4 linked regions of the Drosophila melanogaster genome follow. The protein of the gene in region 1 interacts with the protein of each later gene in a pairwise test. Each region holds a gene or a part of one and is shown in the gene's direction. Other genes may lie near its edges. The genes, in order: RAF2, Cwc25, CG13032 and CG5478.

The links.
Region 2: the proteins of RAF2 (region 1) and Cwc25 interact in a two-hybrid assay, tested with the Drosophila melanogaster proteins (one large-scale study listed by BioGRID).
Region 3: the proteins of RAF2 (region 1) and CG13032 interact in a two-hybrid assay, tested with the Drosophila melanogaster proteins (one large-scale study listed by BioGRID).
Region 4: the proteins of RAF2 (region 1) and CG5478 interact in a two-hybrid assay, tested with the Drosophila melanogaster proteins (one large-scale study listed by BioGRID).

Annotation. Positions count from the first base shown.
Region 1 is NT_037436.4:16,384,610-16,391,348, forward strand, and holds RAF2 (RING-associated factor 2), read left to right. Parts: upstream 1-1,717; 5' UTR 1,718-1,961; intron 1,962-2,016; 5' UTR 2,017-2,027; coding exon 2,028-2,347; intron 2,348-2,411; coding exon 2,412-4,739; intron 4,740-4,795; coding exon 4,796-5,011; intron 5,012-5,069; coding exon 5,070-5,268; intron 5,269-5,326; coding exon 5,327-5,575; intron 5,576-5,692; coding exon 5,693-5,734; 3' UTR 5,735-6,207; downstream 6,208-6,739. Other genes in the region: Agpat3 (1-Acylglycerol-3-phosphate O-acyltransferase 3), read right to left, coding at 819-845; CG44836 (uncharacterized protein), read right to left, coding at 6,513-6,739.
Region 2 is NT_033779.5:2,743,197-2,747,452, forward strand, and holds Cwc25 (Cwc25), read left to right. Parts: upstream 1-1,901; 5' UTR 1,902-2,002; coding exon 2,003-2,020; intron 2,021-2,075; coding exon 2,076-2,298; intron 2,299-2,360; coding exon 2,361-3,685; 3' UTR 3,686-3,748; downstream 3,749-4,256. Other genes in the region: CG9961 (uncharacterized protein), read right to left, coding at 262-1,341, 1,408-1,516, 1,571-1,728; Pgk (phosphoglycerate kinase), read right to left, coding at 3,816-4,056, 4,115-4,256.
Region 3 is NT_037436.4:16,672,135-16,676,774, forward strand, and holds CG13032 (uncharacterized protein), read left to right. Parts: upstream 1-1,829; 5' UTR 1,830-2,013; coding exon 2,014-3,411; intron 3,412-3,467; coding exon 3,468-3,841; intron 3,842-3,899; coding exon 3,900-4,110; 3' UTR 4,111-4,130; downstream 4,131-4,640. Other genes in the region: zetaCOP (coat protein (coatomer) zeta), read right to left, coding at 320-410, 923-1,290, 1,348-1,365.
Region 4 is NT_033777.3:15,932,200-15,935,306, reverse strand, and holds CG5478 (uncharacterized protein), read left to right. Parts: upstream 1-1,572; 5' UTR 1,573-1,620; coding exon 1,621-2,412; 3' UTR 2,413-2,607; downstream 2,608-3,107. Other genes in the region: blp (black pearl), read right to left, coding at 670-932, 993-1,155; Fbxl7 (F-box and leucine-rich repeat protein 7), read right to left, coding at 2,804-3,107.

The DNA of each region.
Region 1 (6,739 bases):
CAATAATCTTTAGAATGAGTGGGTTTATGGGGACCAAAGTGTGCAAACAGTTTAGCAAAAAATTGATGACAGTTAGGTGTCATTTTTTACATTTTGTACATGGAGATGTTTTAAAAAAGTACTAAAGTTTTACGACCGTTTTAATTATGAGTAAAAACGACAACTTTAAAACTTTAAACTAATTAAATCATTTCATTAAGGCGTTTAGCTATTCATATTTCTTATTAAATAATACTTGGCTTCGGATATTTTAGATATTTCAATTTAAGCAAATTTAAATAAGTTTCGAAACGATTTTCGGATTTTAAATAAACTAAAGTAATAGGTATTATATATTGAGATTATTATTTAAATGATCATGATTTACTTAAATTATGATTTAAAACATGTCAGCGGATAAAGTTTATCAAAGAAGTTTTTATTTGTATTTCTACAAAGTTATAAACAATGGTTGTAAAACGACCAATGATAAAGGTCAATCTTTTGTTTTGACACGTAATATAAAACTGGGACTGCATATATTTACATGCACAATGGAACGCACTACGTTTTTGTAATAGAAATGAATGCATTCAGTTGACAAGCACTGCTTTTTTTAAATTTCTTATTTCTTCCTATGATAATGGGATTTAAATCCAATGAAAAAAGGAGTACTTTTCATGCCATTTCTTATGCACACCGCCATTAGCTGAATCAACCGAAAATTCGCCGGGCCGAATTGATTGTATTTTTGATGCACTCAATTGGTGACCCCGACGTTGATTGCTGAACCCATTGTATTGAATTAGTTTACTTTTTCGATCGTCCACTTTACATACAACAAAAGAGTTCTTGTGCACGACCATGCGATTGTGTGCGTGTGAGCATGCATATACGTATGCATGTGCTCAGCTGGCGCACGTGTGCGAGTGTGTGTGTTTGGGAGAGGCGTGGGGTGGCGTGACGTGGTTAACATTTATGGTTATCAGTTCGCGATCTGCAAGGCAATAGCCACCCACAAACGATCAATAAACAAAGTCCTATTTAAAGGTATGTCTATCTGCAGCTGCGCCGTTCTTATCGGTTATTCCCTGTTACGCATATGCACATATATATACAGACACTGTCGGTCGTGCCCTTTGTTTACGAGTGTCACTGGGCGGGAATCGGTTGCTAAACACTGGTCACTACTATATGGTTATCACTCGGCGGCGTCGTGCCCGCCATTTACCTTTTTGGCAATGTTTTTGTGCGAATTGATTTGTTTTCTTTTGTAAGCCAAACGGTATGACCGTTCGAGTGCAATGACGATGACACCGGTGAACAAACGGAAAATCGCCACTTTTGCCTTTAGTATTTTTCAATATTTAATATTTGCCACCAGGGCTGTCAGGTTGCAATGTTGTAAAGGAAATCTGAATAATTTGGCTAACGATCTGCACTACAACTTATAGCTTATTAATGATTGATTTTTGATCTACGCTAACTTTTCCATAAATCAAAAAATGAAACTCTAGTGAGTAACTTATTCTAATATAGTTATTTGGTTTTTAGATATGAAATGACCGAATACCCCGAAACTAGTAATATTTAATAAGATTACTAGATTACTTTAATTTAATAAGATTAAAAATTTGTTTGCTTGGTTTACCTAACTAAGAACTAGTTGGAAGAACATATTTTATTCAGTATTATTTAAAGACTTTCCCAAAAGTGGTTACCCTATTGGTTTGCGTCCATACTAAATGCCTGTCAAAATTATTCGCAGAATTGAACGGCGAATTTTTTTTCGCATTTGGAAATTGGATTTTTGCTGAAAGTAAACGCTTTAAAACTGGTATAAACCCGAATTAGCCTATTTGGGGACTTGGGCCATTGTTTTAAGTGGTTTTCAGCAACTGAAAAGGTGAGCCCGTCGGCGGATTAGAATATTCAACCGGCAGACGATTTTTTGTTGGCCAAAAATTTGCAGACGTGAGCGCGTGAGTTTTTGAGGGGGTTAATGCCAAAAGATGTACATACCTGACCGTCGTCCAGTTGCAGGCCTAATGTCCAACGAGATCTACGACTCCTCCAATTCGCAGCTAAGTAGCGACGAGTATAGCCACGAGGAGGAGGAATACGACGCTCTAATGGACGCGGCGGTGAGCAAGCAACGACCCCAAAAGACAAAATCCAAGGGATCCGAGTCCGAGAAACCCGGAAATGGAGCTCCAGAATCGGCGGCTGCCACTGAGAAAAATGAAAAGCCAGATGACGATGCGGTGCCACCTTCCACGCGCTCAGAAACAATTCGGCGGATCCGGCAATTGCAGTTACAGCGTGGCAGGCTGCCCAATCTTTACTTCAAGCGTCGCAGTATTCGTTGGTAAGGCTTACTTCCCAAAGAACCTACTGAAACTGTAATCCTATCTTATCCGATCACACTTCAGGCTGCGACCCAATAAAATGGACTACAACAGCTATTTTGACGGCCTGAAGGACTTGCTGCCCAAGCGTAAATTGAAGCACCTGGTTCGCTTCCATGACAGGCAGCGCAGAACCTACGACAGCAGGAGCATCAGTCGTAGTCGCAGCCACAGCCGCAGTCTTAGCCGAAGTTGCAGTCGCAGTCGTAGTCGTAGCTATTCTCGCAGCCGCAGCGGCAGTGGTTCGCCGGAACTCATTTGCCTTGACGACACGGAGAACGAGGATTCGCCTGAGAAACCAGAGCAAGAGCCGGCAAGGGTTACGCCCATCAAGGAAAATAAGCCTACGCTTCCGGCTCCACCCCAACTAAACTACGAGCTGCCAGAAAGGAAGAAAGCAAACCCACTTGGAAACAACGAAAACGGTGCCTCTATCCTCGACGAGTTCCTGGTAAAGAAGGATCCCCAGGAACCGGTCTTCGACTACGGTAAACTCTCAGCGTGTCGGGAATTGGAACAGGCTCTAAAGGACCGGTCGCGAGATGCGCCAAATGAGGCAGAGTCGCTTGTGGTTGATGCCACTCTTAAAAGACGCCGTTCGGTAACACCGCCCGCTAGCGAAGAGAAGCGCAACAATGAAGTCGAGGATGATAATATAATTGGGTTTTCAACGGTGCAGCAACAGAAGCCAATGGAGGCAGCTCCACCATTAAATCTAAGAATGCCCACCACTCCATCGACTAATCCTCTTCAGCGTCAGCAGGCTTTTAAGCTGAGCACACCGTATACCCTGGCTCCGCCTACTGCCGCCAAGCAAGCTGACACTTACAGTTTAAATACTCCACCGCCAACGGCCACCCAAATGCAGATATCCTATCCCAACGAAAAGCTGTCAAATAACATGAAAGCTAATGCGACTTTCTCGATTCAACAGACAGCTTTATCCCAAGTCGCTGCATCCTATGCTGCTGCACCACAAGTGGCTGCCCTCGCGCAGAGAGCTCCATCTCAGGTTGCTCCACTACAACAAGCCCCCGTGCAACAGATGCACTTCCCAAGATCAGTTCCACCGCAGCAGCTTCCTCCACCACAGCAGCGAGCTCCTCCACAGCAACTGGCTACAGCTCCATTCGCTCCACCACGGCACCTGGCTCAACATAGACCATCTCCACAGCAGCTAGCTCCATCACAGCAGCTGGCTCCACCACACCAGCTAGCTCCACCACACCAGCTAGCTCCACCACAGCAGCGAGCTCCGCCACAGCAGCTAGCTCCACCACACCAGCTAGCTCCACCACACCAGCTAGCTCCACCACAGCAGCGAGCTCCGCCACAGCAGCTAGCTCCGCCACAGCAGCTAGCTCCACCACAGCAGCTAGCTCCACCACAGCAGCTAGCTCCACCACAGCAGCTAGCTCCACCACAGCAGCGAGCTCCGCCACAGCAGCGAGCTCCGCCACAGCAGCTGGCTCCGCCACAACAGCGAGCTCCCACACAGCATATGGCTCCACCACAACATATGGCTCCGCCACAGCAGCTAGCTCCAACACAGCAGCTAGCTCCTCCACCACAGCAGCTAGCGCCTCGACCACAGCAGCTAGCTCCTCCACCACAGCAACTAGCTCCTCCACCACAGCAGCTAGCTCCTCCACCACAGCAGCCAGATTCATCAAGACCAGCTTCGGTGCAGCCGTTGACCCCTCAAAGGCATGCTAGTCCACATCAGCTTGCCCAATCACAGCAGGTCCATCAATCGCCATCTCAACTGCATCCTGTTCCAGTGGCTGCTCCCAACTTTGCGGTGCCCCAACAGCCGCAACCCCGTCGATCGGAAACGGTGAGCACCCAGACGCAGGGCTTGGGGTCACCAGCGGCTTCTTCTTCGACAACCCGCCAAAAGTCATTCGTTGATCTCAATAATAGTGATGCAAACTTCCATTATCGCGTCAAAGAACTTTTCGATGAATTGAACTCGACAATGATTGATAAAATTAACTCGGTACCCCCTGATGAAGATTCATTGAAAAAAGAGCGCGAACGCATCGTTGCGGATCTTGCAGCCCTAGATAAGCTGATGGCCCAGAAAGAGGATGAATATAACCGACTGCTGTATTTGAGCTGCATTAAGAAGGAGCTGCATGAACGAATGGAGCGAAAGGAGCGCTTGATACGTATTAAGGACCTACTGCCCATCCTTATCAACAAGTGCGGCACCAAGGAGCTCAGTGAGGTAAAGGCTATGCTAGAAGAGGAAATCGATTCTCCAATGGCCTCCAAACATAGTTTGTCGGCAATTGAAAAATTACTGAATTACGCCGAGTTAAACCAGAACATCATACAGCTTCTGCGGGGGTAAATCTTTAAATGTTTAATTCTGAGAATCCCAAGTTAAAATTGATCGTTTTCAGTTCCTTGGGCTTAAATAAACGCGCACCGTCCGTGTCTCCGGCCAATTTCGAGGATGACCAAATGCTTTTTCGTAGAGATTCCTTGCCCGTAAGTCATCTATCAATGCGGGATCAGCATTACGAATCTCGGAATGCGGTAAATGACCATCTGCTAGATAGCAATCCAGACAGAGATCCGCCAGCCAAGCGACCGAAGCTAATCCACTCGCAAGACAGGTGAGAAAATACAAATAATATACTAGAACATATTATTTTAACGTCATATAATTTATAGTAACCAGGACATGGCAAGCTCCTCGACACATTTGTCAGCCAATCTTTCAGAGACGCTTCGCAAGATTAGGGCTTGGAAAAATTATTCGCATTTTAGTAACGTCTCAATGGAGGACAATAATTCGGATAATGAATCACAGATCGAACCGCTGTTCAACAGCAGTCCGATGGCCTCCCGTCGCCAACTGGCCAATAGACAGGTATGCACTTAATCACAATATTTTTTGACATTCCGCGAAAATAAATGTTTCTATTCAGTCCTACCAAGAACAACATTCCGCTAATATCAACGACCATGAGAATGTCCAAAAGAGGCACAAGTCTCACAAGCGCAAGTCGCATAAGCACAAGTCTCACAAGCATAGGAGCTCCCATAAGTCCCAGGCTGAATCTTCCGCCACCATCAACGGTAACACAGGTAGACAATGCCACGAGTGCAAGCTCTATGGAGCCACCTTTATGTGCTCCAACTGTCAGAATCAATGGTACTGCAGTCGTGAATGCCAGGTAAGCATTGTAGGATTTATTATGTATTTTATGCATTTTTTTAAATTGTTTTATCCAGTGACGCATTGAAGGAAAAGTACTCATGTTTACCTATCTTTTATAATACATTCGTTATAGCTGAGCGATTGGGACACACATCACCGAACTTGTGGCATTTAAATAGACTTCACTTAGGACATCAGCATTACTAAAACATAACTATATAGACGTATCGCATATGCACTACTATATATTTACTCAACCGTGTAACTCACTGAAGGACACAGGACACTGGCGGACCATTTTCAATTGCGTTTTATTGAATTAAGTGCTTGCAATTGTACTCAATCAATGAAGCACAATTTAAAGTGTAATATGCCTAGCTATTATAAGTTGGTAGGGATTAAATATAATAATTATAATTCCTTAATAATTGATTCCAATTTGCTTATGAACAACGCGCGAAATTCATTTTGTTTCAAAATCGTATTGATAAAATGTTCCTCGTTTTCCCACTTTTTTTGTTTGAAAATTAAATATCCTTGACTTCTTGTTTGCTACATAAAAGATATCTATTTAAGAATTAATATATTTATTTTCTGTTTCTTTGGATGTAATTCCATGCTAAAGGCAAAATAAACAAGTTCATATTTATTTACAAGCACTTATTATTTAATTTTTGGGAAGACTATTGAACCAAAAAGTATTAGTTCAACAAAATAAAGAAAATGATGAGACGTTTTAATACAATAATAGAAAGTGTTTTAAAATTGGTACTTATAAAATATAAAATTTTACCGTTTGCAGAACTGGTTGGCTTGGTCTATCGATAAATGGCGCCAAGTTTATTGTTCAAATTTCAAACAGAATTTTCTGTGAAATTCGACTAAACTTTGATAACATATAATTCGTATAATGGAATTTTTTCAGATCATTTAGGGCTTTGCCATCGCCTCATTTATTTACTGCGCCTGCGCACCTGGCACATCAGTTTGATGTCATTTATATGCAGCCGGAGTGGCTGCCTCCTGGACCACGGACCACGTCTCAGTTTCCGGATGCGCAGCTGCCGGCTGCAGTAGAGCCGGAATTTCAGATTCGGATTCCAGACGGCACCGGCCGAGGCGGAGGGCGTGACGCACTTGTAGGCATATTGCCACCATAATCGAATGCTCTGCTTGGTGC
Region 2 (4,256 bases), on another chromosome or scaffold:
TTACTATTTCAAAAGTTTTTGTTGCGAGAAAGAGGAACATGATAAATTTTAAGTTTAGACCAAATCTATGGAGGTAAAAAGATAGTTGGAAAGTAGTGCTGCACGAGATCGAGGCCCGCCCTTTTATCACGTTTTAACCGACTAATGTTATTCCACAATAAAAATAACTTTGTATTTTGAGAGACTGATTGTTTAAATTGTCCAAATTGAATTTAAGATACATGTACATATAAGTGGAATAACCATTGTAAAGCAGTGCGTTTAGGCATCCGAAAGAGCAGCCACTCCAGGCAGAACCTTACCCTCCAGCAACTCCAGGGAAGCTCCTCCACCGGTGGACACATGCGAGACCTTGTCGGCGCCTCCGAACTTCAAGCAAGCGGTGGCCGTATCCCCACCACCAACGATTGTGGTGGCTCCTCGGTTAGTGGCCCCGATTACTGCCTCCAGCATGGACTCGGTGCCTTTGGAGAATAGCTCGTTTTCGAACAAGCCTGGCGGTCCGTTCCAGACGATGGTTTTGGATGCACAAATAGCGCCAGCAAACATCTGACTGGATGCCTGGCCGTGGTCCAGACCCATCATGTCCTCCGGTATGCCCTGTGTGGCATCCACATGTTCCACTTTATCCGGCTCCTTGTCGATCTTATTGGCTATGACAAAGTCAATCGGAAATAGTATATTCACGTCCTTCTCCTTCGCCTTGCAGACTATGTCGTTGACCAACTCGGATCCCTTCTCGTCGAAGAGGGACTTTCCAATCTCCATGCCATTGAGCACTTTGAGAAAGGTGAAGGCCATGCCACCGGATATGATCATGGCCGTTACATTGTTCAGGAGGTTCGTTATCAGTGGAATTTTATCGGCTATCTTGGCGCCACCCAGAATGGCCAAAAAGGGCTTGGCCGGATCGTGGAGAACCTTGGCAAAGTACTCCAGTTCCTTGTCCAGCAGGAAACCAGCCGCTCGCACCTTGTAGCCATCGCCCATCATGGAACTATGCGGACGATGTGCTGTTCCAAAGGCATCGTTCACATAGATCTCGCCCAGCTGCGCCAACTTGGCTCGGAATTCCTTCACCTTCGCGGGATCTGCTTTGACCTTCTTCTTGTTATCGTCCTTGCTGCTGCCCGTCTCCTCGGCATAGAAACGAAGATTCTCCAACAGGAACACAGTGCCGTCGGAGGGATCCTTCAAAGCTCTCAGGGTGCTATCACCCACGCAGTCGTCCAGGAATTGAACCGGCTGGCCCAGCACACTCTCCAGCTCCTTGGCCACGGGTTCCAGGCTAAACTTTTTGTTCTTTTTGCCATCCGGACGCCCCAAGTGGGATGCCAAAACCTAGGCAAAAAATTAAGTTATTCGTTCTATACTTTTTAGGAATTGAAGGAAGATATATCAACTCACCAAGGACTTACATTTCTTGTCCAAGGCATATTTAATACTGGGAAGTGCGGAAACAATTCGTTGGTTGTTGGTTATTTTGCCATCTTTCATGGGTACATTAAAGTCCACTCTAAAAATAAATTTATAAATCACACACTAAAACATATCTGGCAAGGATACTCACCTCATAAAAACCCTTTTCCCAGCCACATCTACATTTTTTAAGCTCAACTTCTTTACTTGCTTTCCATTGCAATCGTCTTTGCTAAAAAATCTTGGAAATCTTAATTTTGTAAATCGAGTTTGAGCTCTTTGGTATAAACTCTGCCGAATTGGAAGCATATTAAATAAATTTATTACCTGTTTTTGACTGAAAATACAATGCACGATGAGGAAGTAATTATGAAAATAAGTAACTAAATTAACTATTTTCAATAATTTTCGAAAAAGTAAAAGAAAAATGTAACCCTATGGCAACACCAAGTTAAATTACTTCACCACGATCTGGCAGCCCGGGCGAACATATGATTTTGTTGAAAACAACAGAAAAGGAGGGAAAATCTGGAATTGTTTGTAATTTGTTTGTTTTGCTGTTAAAACGCAAATCAAACCCAAGATGGGTGGCGGAGATCTAGTAAGTAATGTCTCCCAACTGATTATCCGTCAATTACCATTGATTTTTCCCGCAGAATCTGAAGAAATCATGGCATCCGCACACGATGAAAAACCAGGAGCGCGTTTGGAAGGCGGAGGAGCAAGCGAAGATGGAGGAGCGCAAGCTGCAGGATCTGCGCAAGGAGATCAACGAGGAGCGGGACAGAGAGGAACTAAGGCGATTGGGCGAAAGTTCCGGAGTGCTGAGCAATAATGGCGGAGCCGCCGGCGAGGCCAAGCTGGAGTGGATGTACAAAAGTGAGTCATACATGTGAAACTCTTATAAAACTCATTATCCATACATATTTATCTTGCTCCAGACAGCACAGAGCTGATCAACCGCGAGGAGTACCTCCTGGGCCGTAAGATCGACAAGTCCTTTGAGACGCTGCAAGCGGAGGAAAGCCGCCAGGAGCAGAACACAGTGGGTCTCAAGCAAACGATCAACCATGTGGAGCACGACTGTGTGCCCTTCTCCATCCGGACCTACCGCAATGTGCAGTCCAACGAACAGGTGGACATACAGCGCAAGACCCTCGAGGATCCCCTGATGCTCATCAAGCAGCGCGAAATGGAATCCCGTCGAAAGCTGCTTGAGAACCCCGTCAAGCTGAAGGAAATCCATCGCATTCTCAAGACTGAACAGGAACAAAAGGCCGCAGAGGGAAAGAAGAAGAACAAGAAGAACAAAAAGTCTAAGAAATCCAAAAAGAAGAAGAAGAACCGACGATCCAGCAATGAGGAAAGTAGTGACAGCGAGAGCAATGATAGCGACGATGACTTGGACAGAAAATTAGCCCGCCAAGTGAGCAAACTCAAGGGAGACCAAGGTGACCTTAAACTGGACAAGCTGCTGGACGCCAAGTACCGCACCATTTCAAATCAATTAGACATGGCCACCAAGAAGAAAAAGAGCAAGAAATCCAAGAAGAAGAAAAGCAGCGATAGCAGTGACGAAAGTAGTGACGAAGAGGAAGAGCCAAGGAGAAAGCACAAAAGGAGCCACAGCTCAGAGGACAGAAATCAGCGAGAAAGACGCAGGAGTAGAAGCCCCCGGGATAGAAAAAAGCGACAGAGTAGAAGTCCGGAACAAAGGCAAAGGCAAAGGAGTCCAGAAGAGAGAAGGGAAAGGCGCAGGAGCAGGAGCAGAAGTCCCTTAGCGAGAAGACAGAGAAGAACCAGGAGCCCAGAGGACAGAAAAGCCAGACGTCAAAGCAAGGACACTTCAAAGCAGCGCGAGAAACGCAGGAGTAGGACACCTGAAGAGCGTTCCAGATCAAAACGCAGCAGGAGCCGAAGTTCCAAAGGAGATGACAAGCGAAGGATTGCCGAAAGACCGCCTCCCAGCCGTCCCACCGGCAAGCCAAAGTTAAGCGAAGCCGACCGAGAAGCTCGCCTGCGCGAAATGATGGACAACGCCACTTGGAGAGAAGCGGATCGCAGCCAGGTGGTTCGCAAGCACCGAGAAGCATACGCGCGCGAGGAGGCCCAAAATCGTGAACGAGACTTCGACAAGGAGTTCATTAACAAGGAGGTGAAGAAGGCCATTGCCAACCATAACTCAATTGGCGATCGCATCCGGGCCAATCTCAACAACATACAGCGCACCGCCTCCTCAATGGACAGCAACTTTGCCCGCAAATAAACTAGGATTCCTTTATTTCGTATGCATTATATGGTTCCGCAACAAATAGATTCAACACTTTTTAACGTCGTGGTTTGTGCTTACAAGGTAAACGATGCGATTAACATTAATATACCGTATATATGTACGCTTAGGCGCTGGTCAATGCAGCCACGCCTGGCAGTGTCTTGCCCTCCAGGAGCTCCAGCGAAGCGCCGCCTCCGGTGGAGACGTGCGAGACGAGTGCCTCCGTGTTCCACTTGGCGCAGCAAGAGGCAGTGTCGCCGCCGCCGATGATGGAGACGGTGCCGTTCTTGGTGGCGGCCACCACGCCGTCCATGATGGACTTGGTGCCGTTGGCGAAGTTGGGGAACTCAAAGACACCGGGGGGTCTAAAATGGGAAAACCATTATAGGACATTTGGAGAAGTAGCTTCAGTGTGACACCTACCCGTTCCACACGATGAGCTTGGCGCGTGCGATGGGTGCCGCGAAGAGCTCACGGGTCTTGGGACCCACATCCAGACCCATGTGTCCATCGGGAATTCCGGCCTCCACGGTGGCCTCGCTGACGGCAGCGTTCTCGGCGAACT
Region 3 (4,640 bases), 290 kb from region 1:
AACACTTTTGTTGAAACTGAAAATAGATCGTAATTAAACAAAAATGCGAATAACAAATAAATCTAGGCAAATGTGTAAAGCTTGTAAACTTATATTAACTCAGTTACTAACTACATATAGTCTTGAAAAACAAAGAGCCTAATTATTTGTTCATAGGGCGGGTAAAACTAAATGAGAATATATTTGACTGCAGGGTATCAAATTGCGAAACGAAACCAGACAAAATTAAAGTACAAACGGCTACCATTGAGTTATAAACACTTAGAAGAGCTACCAAGTAGTTAGACTACCAAAATAGACCATTAAGGGTGTTAGTTACCTGGGCAACGGTCTGTTCGGCAATGGGAATGTCATCGTTGCGCAGATCAACGCGTTTCACCACCGACGAGGGATCCGCATCCAGAATAATGCTATTTGGAAAACGGGTAAAGGTTTAAATAGAATATTTGTATTTAATAATATGTAATGCATAATATACAGTGATGAATGGCAAAGTATATCTTTTTGTACCTCAGGTGATTTCTAAAGCTCAGCCTATAAACTTAAAAACTTATACGAGCTGCATGCCTAGGATGCCAGTGCTCGTATGTATTAGTTTAATCTTTAAGTTTAATATATTTTAATATTTAGTTTGATTTATATAATTAAACTTTTGTACCTATACCCTAACATCGCAGTTATCATATAACTTTTCATTGGACTTGACTAGGTTTTGTTAAAAAAAAGGAAGCTTTAAATGCGGTTAACTACTTAGAGGCTTCACTTGAGCTGGCCTAACTCATAGACTAGTAAATAACAATGTTATTTATGGGAACTTGTGTAGTAATAATTTGATGTTTTCTAAACGAACTGCTGCTAATGAAAGCTGCTTTAACTTGGTCCCTTGTTCTTTCCATCCATCACTGTATACGCTAATACACACCCTCCGTCGCAGATCTCGTCAAATGCCAGCATGATGATCTCCAGGTTTTCCAGCACCAGGCGCTTCTCAACGTTCTTCTTGAGGATCAGGCTAATGGAATCGTAGAGGCAGTTGAGCACGGACAGCAGGATGAGCTCGTTCTCGTAGGCGTTGCCCATCACGTAGAAGAAGAGGTCCACGTTGCTCTTGTACACGCAGGTGAGTCCGTCCAGCATAATGATCTCCGTGTTGGAGCGGTGCGTCTTATTGAACAGATTCTTTTCGAAGGCCTTCTGCTCCTTCAACGTGGACAGGATGTTCTTGTCGTAGTACTTGGCCAGGATGCGGTTGCCATCGTTGTCCATGATGCACATGCCCTTGATGATATCCTGCAGCACATGTTGGGTTTGATTTTAAGCCAGTTACTTGTGTATTTTGCAATTTACCATCATAAATCCGTCCATCTTCACTTGTTTTCGTGTCTTACACGTCACTTTAGTATGACCATATTGCGACCGCTAAATTATACCAACTAAACAGTACTGCCAACTCGAGTCACAAAATAAATAGCTAGATACAGTTAAAACTATCTAGAAAAACTGTTAAAATTTTTGAATTTTAGCTAAGCCGTTATCGTTGTTTTATTATTATATTTTAAATTATAATTTGAAACACATGGGGGGCTGGCTTGCTTGACGTTGGCCGTACTTTGCTGGGGTATTTAAAATAAAATAATGTAAATGTAAAAAAAGAATAACGGTTTAAATGTAAATTATCCTGTCTTAAATAAAACAACAGTTTGGAAAGATCAAGAAAAGAATTGTCAATGTCAATTTTATTATTGCAGAAACTCTGTTTATTTTTAACTTACCTATTATTGAAGAAATCCTGATTATGACAAGAGTTCCAAATTTAAAAATTGCCTTGCCTTTGATTTGTCTGTTTCAAATGAGGTTTAAATTTGAATAACCTAGAAACAACTGATGACAACCAAAATTTGTGAATATTTTAGTAACAAGAACAGGCACACGTACAAATTATTTTCGCCCAGCCAACGAAATTGTTAGATTCAATTGTGTATATTTTTATGTGAACAACTAGAGGGCATTGCGATGGAGACTTTGCCGGAAGAGTATGTAGCCCATCGGGATCAGGAGCTGTTGGGGTGCAAAGTGGGCCGTTCCTCTCGACGTCGGCATGACCATGATGCCATGGCCGCTGCCCATGTGGTGCTGACCACCGCTGTGGTAAAACCAAAGCCAACAAAGCCGGAGTCCAAAAAGCTGCGCAAAAAGCTATCCGAATGCGAGCAGGAGAAGCAGTCACTGGCCCAGGCCATTCATGAGAAGAATCAGGAGATATCCGACCTGAAGAAATCGGTTGATTCGCTCAACGAGGTGCTCAACTCCGTGCCCATTGATGAGCTGCGCTGCAACTCCTCCATTGCCAGCACCAAAATCCTGGAACTGAGCAAGAAGAACCGCCAGATGCGTTCCGAATTGGAGCAGGCAAAGAGTCGGCTGGGTAAAAAGGATGCTCAGATCGAGAAGCTGGAGAAGGAGCTGCGTGCGCACGAGGAGAAGCTGCAGCATAATCAGGATCTGCCAAAAAAGGGCTGCTCCCCCGATGAGCTCCAAGCCAAGATCAACAGTATGCAGCAGAAGCTCTTCGAAACGCGAAACAGGAACACCGAGCTACAAAGCCAACTGAAACTGGCCCAAAAGTGCCTGCAGCACGAGATCGGTGAGAGCTGCAACATCAACATCCTGGCCAACAATCTTAATCAGGCCAATTGGCGCGGTCGTGCTCAGCAGATCATCGCGCTCAACCAGAAAGTGCACGAGCTCAAGGCTCGCTTGGATTTCTACGAGGACCGAGCCGTAGATCGAGCCGAATATGCTGCCCCAGTGCCGTTGGGTTCGGATCTGGAGTTGGTAACCGGCAGCTGTCGATCACATCATGCCAGCTCTGAGAGATTAGGTGGAGGCGATGGCGGCGGAGCCACAACGGCCAGCTTCGATCGCTTTACACCGGGTGTGCGTAAAAGTGAGATTCTTCATCGAGCCAAGGTGGAGGCTCTGGAAAAGGAGATTCTTAGCCTGCAAAACCAACTGGAGGATCAACGCAGCAAGACACTCGCCCTAAAGGTGAGGAACAAGAATCTGAACGAGGAGATGAACAAGTACAAGATTCTATACAATGAGCTGGAGGAGCAGACCGACTTCAATGGCACCAATATCAATACCATGAATGACAAACTGAACCAGCAGAGGATTCAGTACGAGAACCGTTTGGACGACATGCGCGGCGAGCTGGTCCGGGTGACCGAGGAGCGAGATCTTTCGCGCCGGCAAATGGAAGAGCTGAGCGGTATGCATCTGGAGCTGCAGACGGTGGTCAAGCAGAAGGATGTGGCCATGGCCAGTCTGCAGGATATGATCAAGAAGCTGGAAATGGACCTGCGCGCCCTATCCGGCGGATTCCTCTTCTCCTGCCGCGAGTTTCGAAAGGTAAAACTCTGTACACTAAAACATAAGCTATTAATTTGCTTAATTATATTCCGCAGGAGGAATTTGTGGGCATCCTGGATGCTCTAGAGGTGGAGAAAAATCAGCTTATGTTGCTCACCAAAACTCTAGGAGATCGTCTGGAGACGGAGAGAGCCAAGAACGAAGCAGCTCAGGAGCAGATTGGCAAGTTAAAGGCCCGTATCAGCCGACTGGAGGTCAAGATCAGGGACCTGGAGAAGGAACTCGATGTGCAGTCCGATAAGAAGAAACGCACCCAGCGAATGGCCGACTACGCCAGTTCGCTGAGTCGCACTTCTCTTAACGGATCGATTGGTTCCTTCTGCTTCGAAAATCAGTCCCAGTACCAGTCCACAAATACGCTGAATTCGGCAGGACAGCCTGAGCCCAGAATAGAGGATCTAAAGAATAAGTAAGTTCGGACACGGCAATCCCATCGCTTAATCAACTATAACTACTTATATTTTCAGTCTTGAACTGGCCAAGGAAAAAATCACAATGCTGACAGAGAAGCTGGAGTATATCACCGAGGAGAAGAACGCAGATGCCAAATTTTTCGAGGACACCATCAACAGTACGAAGACCATTATCCTTGAAACTGTACTTGGAGCTCGCGAAAAGGGATTGAGCGATCGTAGCAAAAATGCAGATAAAAGCACGAGCGAGACTTCCATTCAATAATGAAGATGAACAAAACCACGATTTTTATTTTGATTAGTTTTTATGTTCTTTGCAATGCTAAAAAAACTGGACGAGAAGTCATGCCATATACATATTTATATGTAACTGGAATGTTATTAAACTTGCATGGCATTGCAATGCACATCATTGATTCTGAAGTACCGAAAACAATGAGTTTTAAATTTTCATAAATTTTTATTTGATTTGTAACACGTTCACAAAACGAAGCCTTTGGCGCTGCTTCTATTTCAGGATAAGATTAGATTAATTCAAGTATTTGTTAGGTGATTTCTTTCCACTCGAAGCATTTCCAATTGCATTATGCCTATATAATTGTTATTAATTGCTGTCTATAGCTATGCATGTGTGTGTGTGTGTGTGTGTGTGAGTGTCTTGTAAGTTAAGTTAATAATACATTATATATAGCTTGACTTGCCATAGAAAAACGATCCTGCAATCACATATTAAATTAGTTTTAGTTGCCGTTTGTAAATTGCTTCATTATTTGCGTTAGAAATTCGTTCTCCATT
Region 4 (3,107 bases), on another chromosome or scaffold:
GCTGGGGCGATGGTATTGCGATTTTCGTGGGTGGGATATTTGTGCGCTGGAATGCGCATGTGTGCTTTGGCGTCGTTTTGCTGCTGCTGGCGCAATTAGACAAACAATTGACACGTCTATGGAAACAACAACTGCGCACCAGTAATGATTATTTTCGGTTTGTTCTCGGCCAGTGCTGCCCATCGAACAGCTGACTGCTGTCGGTCGATAGCTCTACCGATATGTTCGCGCATCTCTGGCTTCTGCAACAGCTGATTTTAAAATTTCCAAGTTCCTATTGCGAAAGTTTGGAAGCCCATTGCAGCATTAGTTTATTTACATCAGCATAATTTTAGCTATAGCTAGATCAAGACATGGAACTTTGTTGATACTTAAAATATTTTTATTTTCAAACCCCAAGAAGCGTGATCTTAAAATCGATCCGATTCTAGTTACCTGGCCTGAGAGTAAAATATTTATACCTAACCGCCTGAGCTAATCCGTGTTAGTTTACAAGAATTCCATTACATTTGTGTTCCTGGAAAGTCGAGCTCTTCTCAGAAAGTGTTTACACTTGTCTTCATGTTCGTAAATCTCTATTTACAGCAACAGACTTTCATTTTTTGTACTTAACACGTAGTTTTTAAATCAATTATCAGCTAATTAGTTCGATTGGGACAACAAGGATACTCAGCGTCGCTGCCGCGATCTGCTCTGAGACTCCTCCGCCGTATCTTGCGCTGCTTCCGTATTTGACGACCTCGGCTGCTCATGGGCCTTAATCTCATGGTCCAGCCGCTCTTTCGCCCGGAAAACCTTTGACTGGATATAGAAGGAGCCGCCTTTGGAGCGTTCGTTGACTTGAAACAGATGCTCGTAGTTCTTGGTGATAGCGTCCACGTTTTTGGGGTCATCTATATTCAGGATCTGCTTGGCTTCCTCCAGCGTCATGCCTGCATTGATAAGTAGGTGTAAATAGTGAAATAGATAGCATGACTGTGTCCAAGACTCACCTGTGCGCAGGTTGGACTCGGCGCTCTTGTCGCCCTGCTTGCCACCACCCGCCCGTCGTGCTGCTTCCTGAGATGCGGCGATCTCCTGGCGCAGCGCCTTGGTAAAGGCTCTTCCCACTGCCTGGGCGCCCAACACGATGATCTGGGCGATATACTTGGCCATGACGGTTTCTTGTATTCCTTGGATTCGTACGTCAAAACACCGGCATTCTATGTGTACAGCTTAATTTTGGGTCTCAGAAAACGTGTCGCTTTAATTACGCAACACCGTAGTGACCCTCCGTGTTCCAATTGTACTATTTAAAAGGCGTCCTTCTAAAAAAATGCATACGTAACTTTTAACACTTAATTTCGAATGTGATTTATAATTGTATTGAGCTACCAGGTAAATTTTAGCTTTTACTCCAGATATTTACTAACGAGCAGGCGGCGAAAAGCAGGTGAAACAGCTGATTGGAGATGGTACACGGCTTTCATAATTAGCTATCGATATATATAATAGCTATATCATCGAGAATCGAAATATTTTTAAAACCAATTATTTAAATATTTTTACCACGACTACTTTGTCATCGATAGCATTTGTCAGTTATCGTTTTTAAAAATTCGAAATTCCCTAGTTAAGCCAATGATTCAGGAACCGAACTGGAAAAAGGACTACGACCGTCTGGTCCGCGAGCATTTGAATGATCAGAATCAGACGAAGTCGCTACAACGACAAATACGGCATTTTCGCTCAAAGCGCGTACGACTCCAGAATGAAATCGAGGCGGAGAGCAGGAGCATGGACGTTTGGGTAAAGATGATGGAGAACTTGCACCGCGGAGTGGAGCGCTTTCAGAAGCACCACCACCTGCTCACGCCCAAAAAGCGCAAGCAGCTGCGCCGCATAATGCGAAAGCTGCCCTTGAGCAGTTTGGATGAGCAGGTGCGACTGATGGAGGTGTCGGAGCGGTTGGTGCCCAAGCCGTGCAAGGAGACTCCTGAACCACCGAAGGGCAACGAACGCCAGTTCATCAAGTACTCAGTTCCGCATCAGAAAAAGAACTGTGATCCTAATAATCAATCCCCCGTGGACAAACGGCTGGCCAGGATATATGCCAATCTGAAGGCTCTGCTAAAAATCCACGAGCAGACCTCGTCCGTCATCGCTGATATACATTCCCTGATCGCCACTATTAACTATTTGGAGCGGGGGCACTGCACCAAGATAAAGATCACTCCAGCGGAGGGCTCCAGGCCGTCAATAAAGGCTACCATCGAATTGGATCGGCTGCGCAAGACCAAGCACGGCAACCACTACACGCGGGAAATTATGGACGTACGTCCTCCGTACATCCTTGACCATGTGCCGCAATTGAAACCAAACATTTTCGACGCTCTGGGGAGAAAGGCGAAAAAATCAAAATCCAAGCACTGAACCGTTTCTGGTGGGGAAAATAATTTATTACTCCAAGAATTAGTCTACTTAGACATAGTCTACTGAACATGCTCTATGCTACGCTAGTTCTGTCCTGCGTCAGTTTGATATATACAATTTACAATAATCTCATTTAGCTCGGGCAAAGTGGTGGCTGATTACAGAGAACAATTTAAATTATATCCAAACCAATAGATTATATCGGTTAATCATTGAACTAAGACTTGGGGACTTGAGGACCCAAAAGTCCGTGTATGGCTAAAATTTGCCTGCCACTTCATCAACTATTTTGTTTTTCAAGAGTTTTCTTTGCCCATAAATTCCCTTTATATCTGTGCTCATATGGCCTGCCTCTGTGCTTTGTGGTGTCTACCGCCGGCTATGGAACATCTCAACAGAATCCCGGATTTGTGTGTTCGATGATGCAGCGCTTGCAGTACTTCTTGACCGCCCGGTAGCCCTCGATGGAAACCGGACAGTCCTGGATATTCAGTTGCTGGAGACCGCGACAATAATATGCGATACACTGCACCCCGCGGTCCGTGATCATGTCGCAGCTGCGCAGGCTGAGCTTCTTCAGGTTCGGACAGCTCTCGGCCAGAGCTCGAAGCCCCGCGTCGCTCACATCGCACTTCCCGATGTCCAAGGCTCGCAGACGTGGACAGGATCTCGCCAGGACCGTAATGGAGTCATCG